3 linked regions of the Macaca mulatta genome follow. The protein of the gene in region 1 purifies or fractionates together with the protein of each later gene. This does not show direct contact. Links are inferred from orthologs where the notes say so. Each region holds a gene or a part of one and is shown on either strand. Other genes may lie near its edges.

The links.
Region 2: the proteins of RAB11B (region 1) and PI4KB purify together in Homo sapiens (co-immunoprecipitation; 3 studies listed by BioGRID and IntAct, with this or other methods). This does not show direct contact. The link is inferred for Macaca mulatta from reciprocal best matches to the Homo sapiens genes RAB11B and PI4KB.
Region 3: the proteins of RAB11B (region 1) and RAB11FIP1 purify together in Homo sapiens (affinity purification with mass spectrometry; 3 studies listed by BioGRID and IntAct, counting the BioPlex papers as one, with this or other methods). This does not show direct contact. The link is inferred for Macaca mulatta from reciprocal best matches to the Homo sapiens genes RAB11B and RAB11FIP1.

The regions. Positions count from the first base shown.
Region 1 is NC_133424.1:9,236,346-9,240,732, forward strand, and holds the start of RAB11B (ras-related protein Rab-11B), read left to right. Parts: upstream 1-1,498; 5' UTR 1,499-1,563; coding exon 1,564-1,603; intron 1,604-3,818; exon of another isoform or gene 3,819-3,948; intron 3,949-4,387. UniProt on the Homo sapiens protein: The small GTPases Rab are key regulators of intracellular membrane trafficking, from the formation of transport vesicles to their fusion with membranes.
Region 2 is NC_133406.1:115,778,150-115,781,789, forward strand, and holds part of PI4KB (phosphatidylinositol 4-kinase beta), read left to right. Parts: intron 1-1,213; coding exon 1,214-1,323; intron 1,324-2,194; coding exon 2,195-2,299; intron 2,300-2,553; coding exon 2,554-2,677; intron 2,678-3,640. UniProt on the Homo sapiens protein: Phosphorylates phosphatidylinositol (PI) in the first committed step in the production of the second messenger inositol-1,4,5,-trisphosphate (PIP). May regulate Golgi disintegration/reorganization during mitosis, possibly via its phosphorylation.
Region 3 is NC_133413.1:39,830,399-39,834,696, forward strand, and holds the start of RAB11FIP1 (rab11 family-interacting protein 1), read right to left. Parts: upstream 2,827-4,298; 5' UTR 2,771-2,826; coding exon 2,400-2,770; intron 1-2,399. UniProt on the Homo sapiens protein: A Rab11 effector protein involved in the endosomal recycling process. Also involved in controlling membrane trafficking along the phagocytic pathway and in phagocytosis. Interaction with RAB14 may function in the process of neurite formation.

The sequences.
Region 1 (4,387 bases):
CCAAAACAAACAAAAAGTAATGTATACTTTGTGTTAGTAATATTGCATTGTATATTGAAAATTTGCCAAGAAAGTAGATTGTAGATACTCTCACTACACACACAGTTAATTATGGAAGGCAATGGATAGGTTAATTGCTTAACTGTCATAATTGGCTGGGCGTCGTGGCTCACACCTGTAATCCCAGCACTTTGGGAGGCCAAGGTGGGCGAATCACCTGAGGTCGGGAGTTCGAAATCAGCCTGACCAACATGGAGAAACCCCGTCTCTACTAAAAATACAAAAAAATTCGACAGGCACCGTAGCGCATGCCTGTAATCCCAGCTAATCAGGAGGCTGAGGCATGAGAATCGCTTGAACCCAGGAGGCAGAGGCTGCGGTGAGCCGAGATCTCACCATTGCACTTCAGCCTGGGCAACAAAAGCAAAACTCCTTCTCAAAAAAACAAAACAAAACAAAAAACTGTCATAATTATTTCACTGGGTACATGTATATCAAAACAGCACGCTGTACGCCCTAAATACATAAAATAAAACAAACACATATTGTATTGTCAGGTAGTGATAAATCCTATCACTACCTGACAATACGGCAGTATGTGTTTTATTTTCTATATTACCTATATTTTACCTATGTGGTAAAATATTGGATAAAGAGGGGTAGGGGTAGGAGGTCCTGTTGGAGAGCATCGGTGCCCAATAAGGATTTGTAAGTATTTATTAAACAAAGAAAAGCAGAAAGTGGACGGTTGATTCACTCTTGGTGCAAGCCACCACGCTCGGCTAATTTTTGTATTTTTAGTAGAGACAGGGTTTCACCATATTTGTCAGGCTGGTCTCGAACTCCTGACTTAGTGATCCGCCCGCCTCGGCCTCTCAAAGTCCTGGGATTACAGGCGTGAGCCACCGCGTCCAGCTGATCTGGTTATTTTCAAAAGATTCCATGAGGTGGGTTTCTTCAGTTTACAGAGGAGAAAACTGAGGCATAGAAGGATAACCCAGTGAGTCCCAAAATAGAGATGGAAACTACAACCGACAAAGGGGACCCAGCGCTGAGGTCCCCGGAAATGATCATTTATGGGATTGGGGGGGCGAAGCCAGGGCAGCGCTCGCTGACCTATGACGTCATCGGGACGTTAAGAATCTTAGCATCACCTGGACGTACCCCCATTTCCCTTCCCGGACAGGTCCTCTGATAGTCGGCTAGGTTCTCAATCCAGCCTCTCATTGGTTAGTTGGTCTGTCATTCCACTTCATTCCTGCAGCCTTCCGCCCCGCCCTCTTAAGCTCGCCTCTAATAGGCTGTCGCGACCGTCACTTCAAAAAGGTCCGCATTCCTTCCGCCTTTCTCCAGGACACCGAGGGCGAGGAGGGTGGATACCAAGCGGCGCCCACCCTCAGAGCACTACTTCCATCTCTGATTGGCTCCGCTAGGTGCCAGTCGCTACCCCACCCGCCGCTGATAGGCCATTCAACGGCCGTTCTGCGCGGCGCCGGCTCCGCCCCCGTCGAGTGTTTGTGGTGGGGCTGCGGAGTTGCCGATCCCGCCGGAAGCGCCAGGACAATGGGGACCCGGGACGACGAGTACGACTACCTATTCAAAGGTGCGGCCGGTGGGGCACAGACGGGCTAGGGCGTTGCGGCGAGGCGGCGGGCAGACGGGCCAAGGCCGCGCTTCAGGCCGCTGGGCCCAGTCCGGAGCCCGGGGCTTGGGGCCCGGCGGGTCAGGCAGCCGGGAAGGCCGGGGCCGACCGGGCTCCATCAGCTTCGAGCTAGGATTCGCGGCCATGCGGAGCCAGAGGCCCGGAGAGACCTGGGGGACCCAGGATGCGCTGGGGCGGGGCTGGGGCCTAGCGGGGGTGGGGCCCGGAGCGGTGGGAGAGGCCGTTAGGGCGGGGCCTCCGGAGGGGGTGGAGCCTTCCCAGGATTTGGCGGGCCGGGCTGGGCTGAAAGCGTGGTTCGGAATGGGGGCGGGGTTTTAGAGGCGGGCTAAGGCTGATGGGTGTGACGAATAGGTGGGTTGGGCCTGGTAAGTGGGGGCGGGGCTCACGAGGCCAGTCCTGATTGGGTCAGCATGTTTGGGGGTGGGGCCCGGGATAGGCGGGGCAGACAATGGGGGCTGGGCCGAGATGAGGGCCTGGGGGTGAGGTGTGTGGTGGTGGGAGTCTTGGATTGGGGTGCAGAGCTGGGATTGAGTGGAAAGGTATCCGTGTGTGCAGCAAGAATTCCATCTCTTCACTTAGCACTCTCAACGGCGCTAAGCCAGTACCTGCACTTTTCTGAGCACTTTACGCAAACGAACTTAAATCCTCACTGCAGCCCTTTGAGGTTGATATTAACCAGCCTCTCTTTTTACACATTGGGAAACTGAAGCCCAGAGTGACAAAGACACAGTTTATAAAGTGTTGGAGCCCGATTGAGCGCAGGCCACCTGTGGGCTTTACCACTTAGGAAGCGTGTCTTAAGGGGCTTGTGGCCAGCATCTAGGACTTGGGGTTGTTAGACCACCTTCTTCCAACGTGCGCACTGATGGCCGGGGCCCCAGCCAGCCTGTTGGAGGGTCTTCCCCGCCCGAGAGACTGAGGGGGCTCTAGGAACATCAAATAAAGCCTAGTCAGATCAGGCAGCCATTGCCCGGTCTGCTGGAAGAAGCTGGAGTCCCTTGTTTCTCAGCTGAGCCTTCTATGCCCAGCTAGACTTTCGCCTAGTCGTCTGCCCTGGTTGCTGGGCTCCCTGGCTGACAATGGCAGCCCTTGAGGGTTAACCCCTGGATCCAGGGTGCCTTCACCCTGCAGCCTGCTCTATAAGGGCCTGCGTCCCACATCAGCTGTTGGTATCCTCGCCTCGCTGAGCCGTTCCTCCGAGCGTGCTCTGTGACTTGCACCAGGCCTAGCTGGGCCTTGCGTCTGGTCTCATCCAGCGTCTTGTGGTTGTGGGGAATGGGCAGAGGTCTCCCCACCTGAGCTGTCCGTGAGGCGAAAGCCTTCGGTGGAGAGGGAGAGGAAGTGTCTCTGCAAGACTCTGAAGTCGTCCTGCGGCACTGAGGGCTCTGGCAACTGCACACAGGTTGATAATATCACTGGTGGGTGAGGCTCTGTGGCTGGCAGGTGCCAGGCCCCAGGTCTCGCCCTCATGGCAGGAGGAAGCTTTGGAAGGGTTTTGGGGACTGGGATTCTAAGGGGCCATCTGGAGACAGGGGGACCAAACTTTGGGTTCTGCTGGGCGGGTGCCATCTCCACTCAGCCCTTCCTGAGGCAGCTGCTCTCAGGTCCTGGCTGGGCACCCACCCAGATGTGGCACTGCCAGGGCAGGGAGTGTTGCTCCCCACGTGCCCTGTCCAGGTTTCTGTGGTTATCCCCTGCTTGTTATTTTCGCCCTTTTGCTGTTTTAAATGACCCCAGCTCCGAGTGTTTGCCCAAGTCATGATTTTGCCCTTTGGGTTATTTCCTTGAAGTACATTCCCAGCAGAACAGTTACTGGGTCAGGAGCAACGGAGAGGCTGTGTGGTCCCGGGACCCGTCTGCAGAGACTGCCTCCTGGAAACACTGATCTAGCTCCTGCGGCAGCTGCCATTTGGCAGGCGGGCGGGCAGTGTGGGGGGGGGGGCCTGCCCTGCTGCCCTCCCCACACTGGCCTCCTTTTACTGAGTCTAAGCAGGTGCCCTGCTGACCTTCTCAAGCCAGTTGGTAGCAAAAATCTAACGCACAAGGTCAGCCTTTCCCAAACTGGTCATCTGCCGTCTCACCTTCACAGCTGTGCCTCATCAGAAGACCTCCTCTATTCTTTTTCAATATTTGTCTTTCTTTTTCTGTTTCCTTTCTTTCTTTTCTTTTTTTTTTTTTTTTTTTGAGACAGAATTTCACTCTAGTCACCCAGGCTGGAGTGCAGTGGCGCAATCTTGGCTCACTGCCACCTCCGCCTCCCGGGTTCAAACGATTCTCCTGCCTCAGCCTCCCGAGTAGCTGGGATTACAGGCACCCACCACCATGCCTGGCTAATTTTTGTATTCTTAGTAGAGACGGGGTTTCACCATGTTGGCCAGGCTGGTCTCGAACTCCTGATCTCAGGTGATCCACCTGTCTCGGCCTCCCAAAGTGCTGGGATTACAGGCATGAGCCACCACACCTGGCCTCTGCCTTGTTTTTTTTTTTTTTTTTTGGTGGCCACATCACGCACTGGCTCCCTTGACCTCAGCGGCCGAGGCCAGCAGATCCCCCGGGTGATGCCCTGTGTGCTGTTTGTTTTCCTCTGTGAATGTTCTTTCCTTCCCCCAGGAACGACACTGTTGATTTGTACCTAATTATAGAGCCTCACATTTATCCTCCTGACATTTTCTGCTTTAGCCATGGGCCATTTTCATAGCCTGCCACTAATTGCCGCAGGACCCC
Region 2 (3,640 bases), on another chromosome or scaffold:
CCATCTCAAAAGAAAAAAAAAAAAGGCCGGGTGTGGTGGAGCATACCTGTAATCCCAGCTACTTGGGAGGCTGAAGCACAAGAATCACTTGAATCTGGGAAGCGGAGGCTGCAGGGAGCCGAGATCACAGCATTGCCTTCCAAACTGGCCGACAGAGTGAGACCCTGTCTTAAAACAAAACAAACCAAAAACACAGCCAGGGTCAGGTGTGGTGGCTCACACCTGTGATTCCAGCACTTTGGGAGGCTAAGGTGGGTGGATCACCTGAGGTCAGGAGTTCAAGACCATCCTGGCTAACATGGTGAAACCCCGTCTCTACTAAAAAAAAAAAACAAAAAACAAAAAACTAGCCGGGCGAGGTGACAGGCACCTATAGTCCCAGCTACTCGGGAGGCTGAGGCAGGAGAATGGCGTGAACCCGGGAGGCGGAGCTTGCAGTGAGCTGAGATCTGGCCACTGTACTCCAGCCTGGGCGACAGAGCGAGACTCTGTCTCAAAAAAAACAAACAAAAAAAAACACACAGCCAGGTTTCACTCTGCCAAAAGACAGAATCTCTGTCTTTGAGTTTACAGTCCAATTGGAGACATTAGACATTTAAGAAAAAAAAAATTTAGATATACAACAAAGCAGTGTGTACTAGGTGACAAATAGAATTGAGAAGAAATGCTCTGGTATAAAGGAGAGAAGAGACTTGACGTGGGCCTTGGGGTCTGGTAGAATATTCTGTAGTTAGAGAGAGATGAGAAGATAAGATTGAATGACTTAGATTGAAGAAACTGTCAGAAGCTAGTCTGTAGAGGGTCTGCTTTGGACCCTAGGGGAGAACATATCCCTAGCCTTGGGGGGTTCTCAGTGAGGCTGAAATTTTGAGCTCCTGTGATGGTCCTGGCAGTGGTTTGCAAACTTCAGTGCATTGGAAGTCTTCTGGAGAACTTGTTAAAAATTCAGACTTTCAGATCCCATTCCCAGTAATTCTAATTCAGATTGATGGTGGGGCCTGGGAGTCTGCATTCCGGGTAATTCTGATGCAGGTAGTTCACATGTTGAGAAATGCTGCTCTGGGCAGCCTGGGGTCCAAGTAATCAACATGGTGTGTAAGCAGAGTTTGAAAGGGAGGGATGAGCATGCTGCATCGATAGCAAGCAAGCAGGAGGGGAAAGACAGGAGACCTATACTTAGCACTTCTGACCAGCACTCCCCTGCTATCTCCAGCTCCCCGAAGTGCACACCAACAGCTGTGACAACATCTCCCAGTTCTCTGTGGACAGCATCACTAGCCAGGAGAGCAAGGAGCCTGTGTTCATTGCAGCAGGGGACATCCGGTATGGCCAGATCATATTGCCTCTATTAAAAATACAAAAAAATTAGCCGGGCGTGGTGGCGGACGCCTGTAGTCCCAGCTACTCGAGAGGCTGAGGCAGGAGAATGACATGAACCCAGGAGGCGGAGCTGGCAGTGAGCCGTGATGGCACCACTGCACTCCAGCCCGGGCAACAGAGCGAGACTCCATCTCAAAAAAAAAAGCACCCCAGGAAGGAGTTCGAGCAGTGTGTCTCAAAGTGTGGTCTCAAAGCGACTGTTTGTCAGAATCCAGAGGGAGGAAGGAGGCCTTGTTGAAAATGCAGATTCTAGGCCAGGTGCGGTGGCTCACACCTGTAATATCAGCACTTTGGGAGGCCGCAGTGGGTGGATCACAAGGTCAGGAGATCGAGACTCCTGGCTAACACAGTGCAACCCCATCTCTACTAAAAAAATACACACAAAAAATTAGCTGGGTGTGGTGGTGGGCGCCTGTAGTCCCAGCTACTCGGGAGGCTAAGGCAGGAGAATGATGTGAACCTGGGAGGTGGAGCTTGCAGTGAGCCGAGATCATGCCACTGCACTCCAGCCTGGGAGACAGAGCAAAACTCTGTCCAAAAAAAAAAAAAAATGCAGATTCTAGAGACACCCATTCTGAATCAGTCTTGATAGAGGAATATGGAGTGCCTGGTAATCTTAATTTTAACATGACTACAATCACTAAGTTAGCAAAAAGGTGTCACTGGTTATGTTTTCTTCCATGAGTCCCGTTCAGCCTGGGTTCCTATCTTAGTGTGCCCAGAATCCAGGAGACAGTGCAGGAAATGTCAGTATAGATGGCATGGGGCTTGTGGGTAGCTCCTCCAAGCAAATGATGTATTTTCTTCCTCACAGCCGGCGCCTTTCGGAACAGCTGGCTCATACCCCGACAGCCTTCAAACGAGACCCAGAAGATCCTTCTGCAGTTGCTCTCAAAGAGCCCTGGCAGGAGAAAGTACGGTGAGTTGGGTGTGGGTCTCTGAACACCTCTTAAAGCTCAGAGGCAGTTGCAGGGGCTCACTGTGCCAACTTTATTGTCCATCAGCCTCCAAAAAAATCTGTCAGACTCGCAGCCTCCAAAAAAATCTGTCAGACTCGCAGGCTGTCTGGGTCCTTGCCCTATGGGGCATTTGCTTGGAATTTTTTGTGGAAGCTATGTCTCTTGTCCTCACCGTGGCATCAACCTTTGACACCCTTTACTTCTCTCCTCACAGGAGGATCAGAGAGGGCTCCCCCTATGGCCATCTCCCCAGTTGGCGGCTCCTGTCAGTCATTGTCAAGTGTGGGGATGACCTTCGGCAAGAGCTTCTGGCCTTTCAGGTGTTGAAGCAACTGCAGGTAAGAGAAGAGAAGGAGAGGCCAGGCACAGTGGCTGTAATCCCAGCACTTTGGGAGGCCGAGGCAGTTGGATCACGAGGTCAGGAGCTCAAGATCAGCCTGGCCAAGATGGTGAAACCCTGTCTCTACTAAAAATACAAAAATTAGCTGGGCACAGTGACGGGCGCCTGTAATCCCAGCTACTCAGGAGGCTGAGGCAGGAGAATTGCTTGAACCCAGGAGGCGGAGGTTGCAGTGAGCCAAGATCGCGCCACTGCAATCTAGCCTGGGCGACAGAGCAAGACTCTGTCAAAAAAAAAAAAAAAAAGAGAGAGGAGGGGAACTCAGCACAACTCCAGCCAACCTGAGGTAACTACACAGATTATTCTCACCTTCCTGCCCAGGTCTAAAACAAAAGCAGAGTAAAGAAAAGCGGCCGGGCGCGGTGGCTCAAGCCTGTAATCCCAGCACTTTGGGAGGCCGAGGCGGGCGGATCACAAGGTCAGGAGATCGAGACCACAGTGAAACCCCGTCTCTACTAAAAATACAAAAAATTAGCTGGGCGCGGTGGCGGGCGCCTGTAGTCCCAGCTACTCAGGAGGCTGAGGCAGGAGAATGGCGGGAACCCGGGAGGCGGAGCTTGCAGTGAGCCGAGATCGCGCCACTGCACTCCAGCCTGGACAACAGCGTGAGACTCCGTCTCAAAAAAAAAAAAGAAAAGCTAGGCAACTTTCCCTTGGGAAGAATAGCCATAGGAACAACTCCACAGCGGCCTCTTTTGGCCCTTTTGTGACTTGCACCTGCCCTGTTCCAAGTCAGAACTTTAGAGTGCTAGGTTTGCCTTTTAGATCAAAACTTCCAAAATGGGCTGGCACCCTGGCATGGGCCTGTAGTCTCAGCTAGTCAGGAGGCTGAGGCAGGAGGATGTCTTGAGCCCAGGAGTTCTGGGCTATAGTCCGCTATGCCAATTGGGTGTCCATGCTA
Region 3 (4,298 bases), on another chromosome or scaffold:
CAAGGAGGTTTCAATCTTTCACAAAGCAGTTACAGAACCTTTTCAATCACTTCTTGAATACATTGGCCCCATTAATCCAGGAACCCGGAAACATCTTACAAACATCAATTAAGTCTGGCAACATGCTTTATTTACAAATAGGGAAACTTGGCTGTTTAGGGACAGAGAAGCCCAACAATGAGTCAGGGCCGCTGTGGGCACTGGACCCGGGACTCTGGAATCTCCATCTCTGGCAGGGAGATGTGATCTACCTCTCAAGGGGATAAAATGTCCACATAAGAAACAGGTGGCAGAGAAGGAAGTGAATACACACTTGTTGGGATGGCGCAAGACAATGGATGGCCAACAGCACCCGTCTGAAGCTGGAAGGGAAGCTGACCCACCGCCCCCAGTGTCATTTAATCAGAGGGAAGATCAGCATTGCTGCAGCCCCTCCTTAGCAAAAACACTGCTCACCTTATGGCTTGTAAATTGATGCTGTGAGATACCCCACATCCATCCTCACATCAAGGCTGGTTTTATCTGATTTGAGTTCAGAAATGCCTGATCATCTTTGGCCAGGTAAGTGCATCATCAGATATTCCATTTGCAAGCCTACATGCTGAAATGGAACCCACCCCACAGTAAAGGGAGCCTCCGAGGACAAACCCTCTGGCTTTTCCTGTCTCCCTCACAAGGGAAAGTTAAAAGGCTATGTATATCTAAAACACACAAAGCGAATCAGTGTGCTTCCTAAACTGTAGGCTTTTGGTGCTGACTGGCCTGCATATTTAAGATCTAACAAAGTAACCAGCTAAGCTAATCGAGGCTAGCTTTGGTATACTAGATGAATATAATCAAACGTTCCTTTGGGTGAAGTACTGCCCTTTCCGAACACCTGTGAAAGGGAACAAGTAATTCGGTAATATCATGGAGTGAATGGTTTTTGCCCCATTTTTACTGCGGAAGTGAAATACCGTGACACAATCTTTGGGAGCTACATCCACCAGGATTAGGACCAGAGAGAATAACTCTACCAACTCCAAAAAGAAACAATGCCCAGTTCTGCTCGGCCAAGGGCCCATCCGGGCTCCCTCCAACCCGGGGAAATATTTACTAACGTGGGGCCCAGGGCACACACCACACTGTTGTAACATTCTTTCTGGAGGGGCAAATTCTCTTCACCAACCCCCCAGGCAAGTACAAGGTAGAAGGGGTTAGCAGTCAGGTGACAGCCCGCATACACCATTCCCCTCCCCCAACCTCCACCCGCCCTGCATTGTAAAGGCGTTGCCCCTGGGGTTAGCCTTTAGGGCGGGGGTGTCAGCTGGTTTCATGTCAGCTGGTTTCATGCCTCCGGTTCATCTGCCCTGAGCCCTGGCCCAGTCATTCTGGGCTCGAAGTGTTCTTCCATTCAGTGAAATACCCAGGAGGCCTTCCACCCAAGCGAAGACGAGTATCAGACAGGGACTACCACCCTAGTAAGAAGGCACCTGCCCATGTTTAGTTGGAATTCATCTCAAATTCACTTAGTGCTTACTGTGTGCCAGACGCTGAGGGGCGTCCTGCAGACTCAAAAGCGCCCCAGGCCGGGCGCGATGGCTCACGTCTGTAATCCCAACACTTTGGGAGGTCAAGGTGGGCGAATCACCTGAAGTCAGAAGTTCGAGACCAGCCTGGCCAACACGGTGAAACCCCGTCTCTACTAAAAATACAAAAATTAGCCGGGTGGGCCAGGCGCGGTGGCTCACGCCTGTAATCCCAAAACTTTGGGAGGCCGAGGCGGGTGGATCACGAGGTCAGGAGTTCAAGACCATCCTGGCCAATCTAATGAAACCCCATCTCTACTAAAAATGCAAAAAGTAGCCGGGCATGGTGGCGCACGCCTCTAGTCCCAGCTACTCGGGAGGCTGAGGCAGGAGAGTCGCTTGAACCCGCGAGGCGGAGGTTGCAGTGAGCCGAGATCTTGCCACTACACTCCAGCCTGGCGACAGGGTAAGACTCCGCCTCAAAAAAAAAAAAAATTAGCTGGGCGTGGTGGTGCGCGCCTGTAATCCCAGCTACTCGGGAGGCTGAGGCAGGAGAATCACGTGAACCAGCGAGGCGAAGGTTGCAGTGAGCCGAGATCGTGCCATTGCCATTTGCACTCCAGCCCGGGCGACAGAGACTCTTTTAAAAAAAAAAAAAAAAAAAAAAAAAAGCGCCCCAGACACGGCCCCTTCTTCCAAAAAATCCCAAAGCTGGGAGAGCTGGGCGGGACAGAAGGGAAAGCCAGGTGACCAGCACCGGCCGAGGGCTCAGTCCCGAAAGGCCTTCCTTGACGCTGCCCGGCTTACTCTCGAAGGGTCCAGAGCCCAGACCTCCCTGCTAGAGGGGTCCGCGCCCCCAGGAAGGGCCCTCCCCTCCCCGCCCGTACTCACTGCGTCTTCTTGCGGCCCTGGTCGCGGTGCAGATCCCGCAGGTCCACCTCGGCGCGGCCCAGGAACTTGTCGAGGCCAAGCAGCGCGCGGTGCAGCACGGTGAGCTGCAGGGTGGCGGCGGCCGCGGGCCCGGAGGACAGCAGCGGCGGCAGCTCGAAGGTGGCCTCCTCGCGCCACACAGGCGCGCCCAGGCTGCGCTCCGACACCGAGGTGGCGTACTTCTCCTTGCCCACCTGGATCACCGCGTACGCGTCGCTCGTGCCCCCGGGGCCCTTGGCCCGCAGGCCCCGCGCCTGCAGCACCGTCACCTGCACGTGGGTTGGGGACCACACGGCCCCCAGGCCCCGGCCCGCCGAGGCCATTAGGGACATGGTGACGATAACGCCCCAGACGCGAGGAGAAGATCGCGGCGACTGGCGGCCTCTACGGCCAGCCCCGGCAACCAGGCCACTTTAAGGCTTCCGGCCACACCCCCGCCAGGCCACGCCCCTCACGGCTAAGGCCACGCCCCTGCCCGAGCCGCCTGCTCCACCTGCTGCGCCGCGCCGCGCCCCGCCCCGCCCCACCGGCCTCAGCAGAGCCGGCAGCTCGGGGCAGCCGGGCGCCGCAGGCGGGGCTGGCGTGGCCAGGTAGGCGGGGGAATCACGTGGACAGGGGCGGGTGCATCGAGAATCCGATCTGAGATGTGGTAGGTGACGGATGGGGTCCCCAGCTGCCAAAGGTCGCGCGGCGGGAAGGAGCTGGCCGAAGCACTGACTTGGAAGTCAGACCTCATTTCCTGGGTCACATCGCCAGTCGTGGCCTTGCGCGGGTTACCTAACGTCAAGTCTCAATTTCTTCACCTGACAGGCACCTCCTAGGATTGCTGTAAAAAATAATAATAATAATGCATTACAGTTCTTGGCCCAGTACCTGGCTCATGGTGAGTTGTCAGTAAATAACCATGACCAGCACGTTGAGAGGCTGAGACGGGAGGCTCTCCTGAGCCCAGGAGTTCGAGACCAGCCTGGACAACATAGCCAGATTCCCGTCAATACAAAAAAAATTAAAAATAATTAGATGGGAGTGGTGACAAGCGCCTGTGGTCTCAGCTACTTGGGAGGCTGAGTCTGGAGGATCTCTGGAGCCCAGGAGGTCGAGGTGCAGTGAGCCGAGATTGTGCCACTGCACTCCCAGCCTGGGCAACAGAGCAAGACCTTATCTCAAAAAAATAAAGTTGGTAACTATGAGGGTGCTAAGGAAGATGCCCACCCAATTCACTACGCTTTCTACTTCTCCCGCTGGAAAGCCTTGCTCTGGAGGAAGGCAGCTGCAGAGGAAGGTGAGGACCTTGTGAGGGCTGGAAAAGGTGAAGGTATCCTGGGGGGCATGAGTTCAATGTGGGAGTGTCCTATTTTGCCCTCCCCTCACCAGATAAGGCAAGGCTGAGTTAGAAAAAGGGAAGAAAGGAGGAACTGAAAATGGGATTGCCAAATCAAACATCGGGACAGTGGCAGGCCCCTAGCCCGCAGTTCCCCATTTCTCCCTTGCCAGGCCCTCTTTAGTCTCTCCCTGCCTCTATCCCTGGGCTCCCAGGCAGTCCTTTTCTTGTTCCAAATGCCTAATAGATTGGCTGCTTCCCTTCATTTCCCAGGTCCTAGTTCAAAGGCTCAACTGTTCAACTGAGTCATCAGATTGGAAAGGTCACTTGGAAGGTTTTAAAGTTTTACAGTTAAGGAAAGGCTCAGAAGAGAGGAGTGACATGTCCAAGGTCCCTCTGCAGAGCTGGGACTGGGATCCCAGTGTCCTGACTCCCAATCAGCTGTTCAGTGCATCTCTTGATTCTTCCAGATCCACAGAACCCCAGTCGTGGATGGCTACTCATGTCCCTCCAATCTCCAGGCTCTCCTCCCTCTGGTC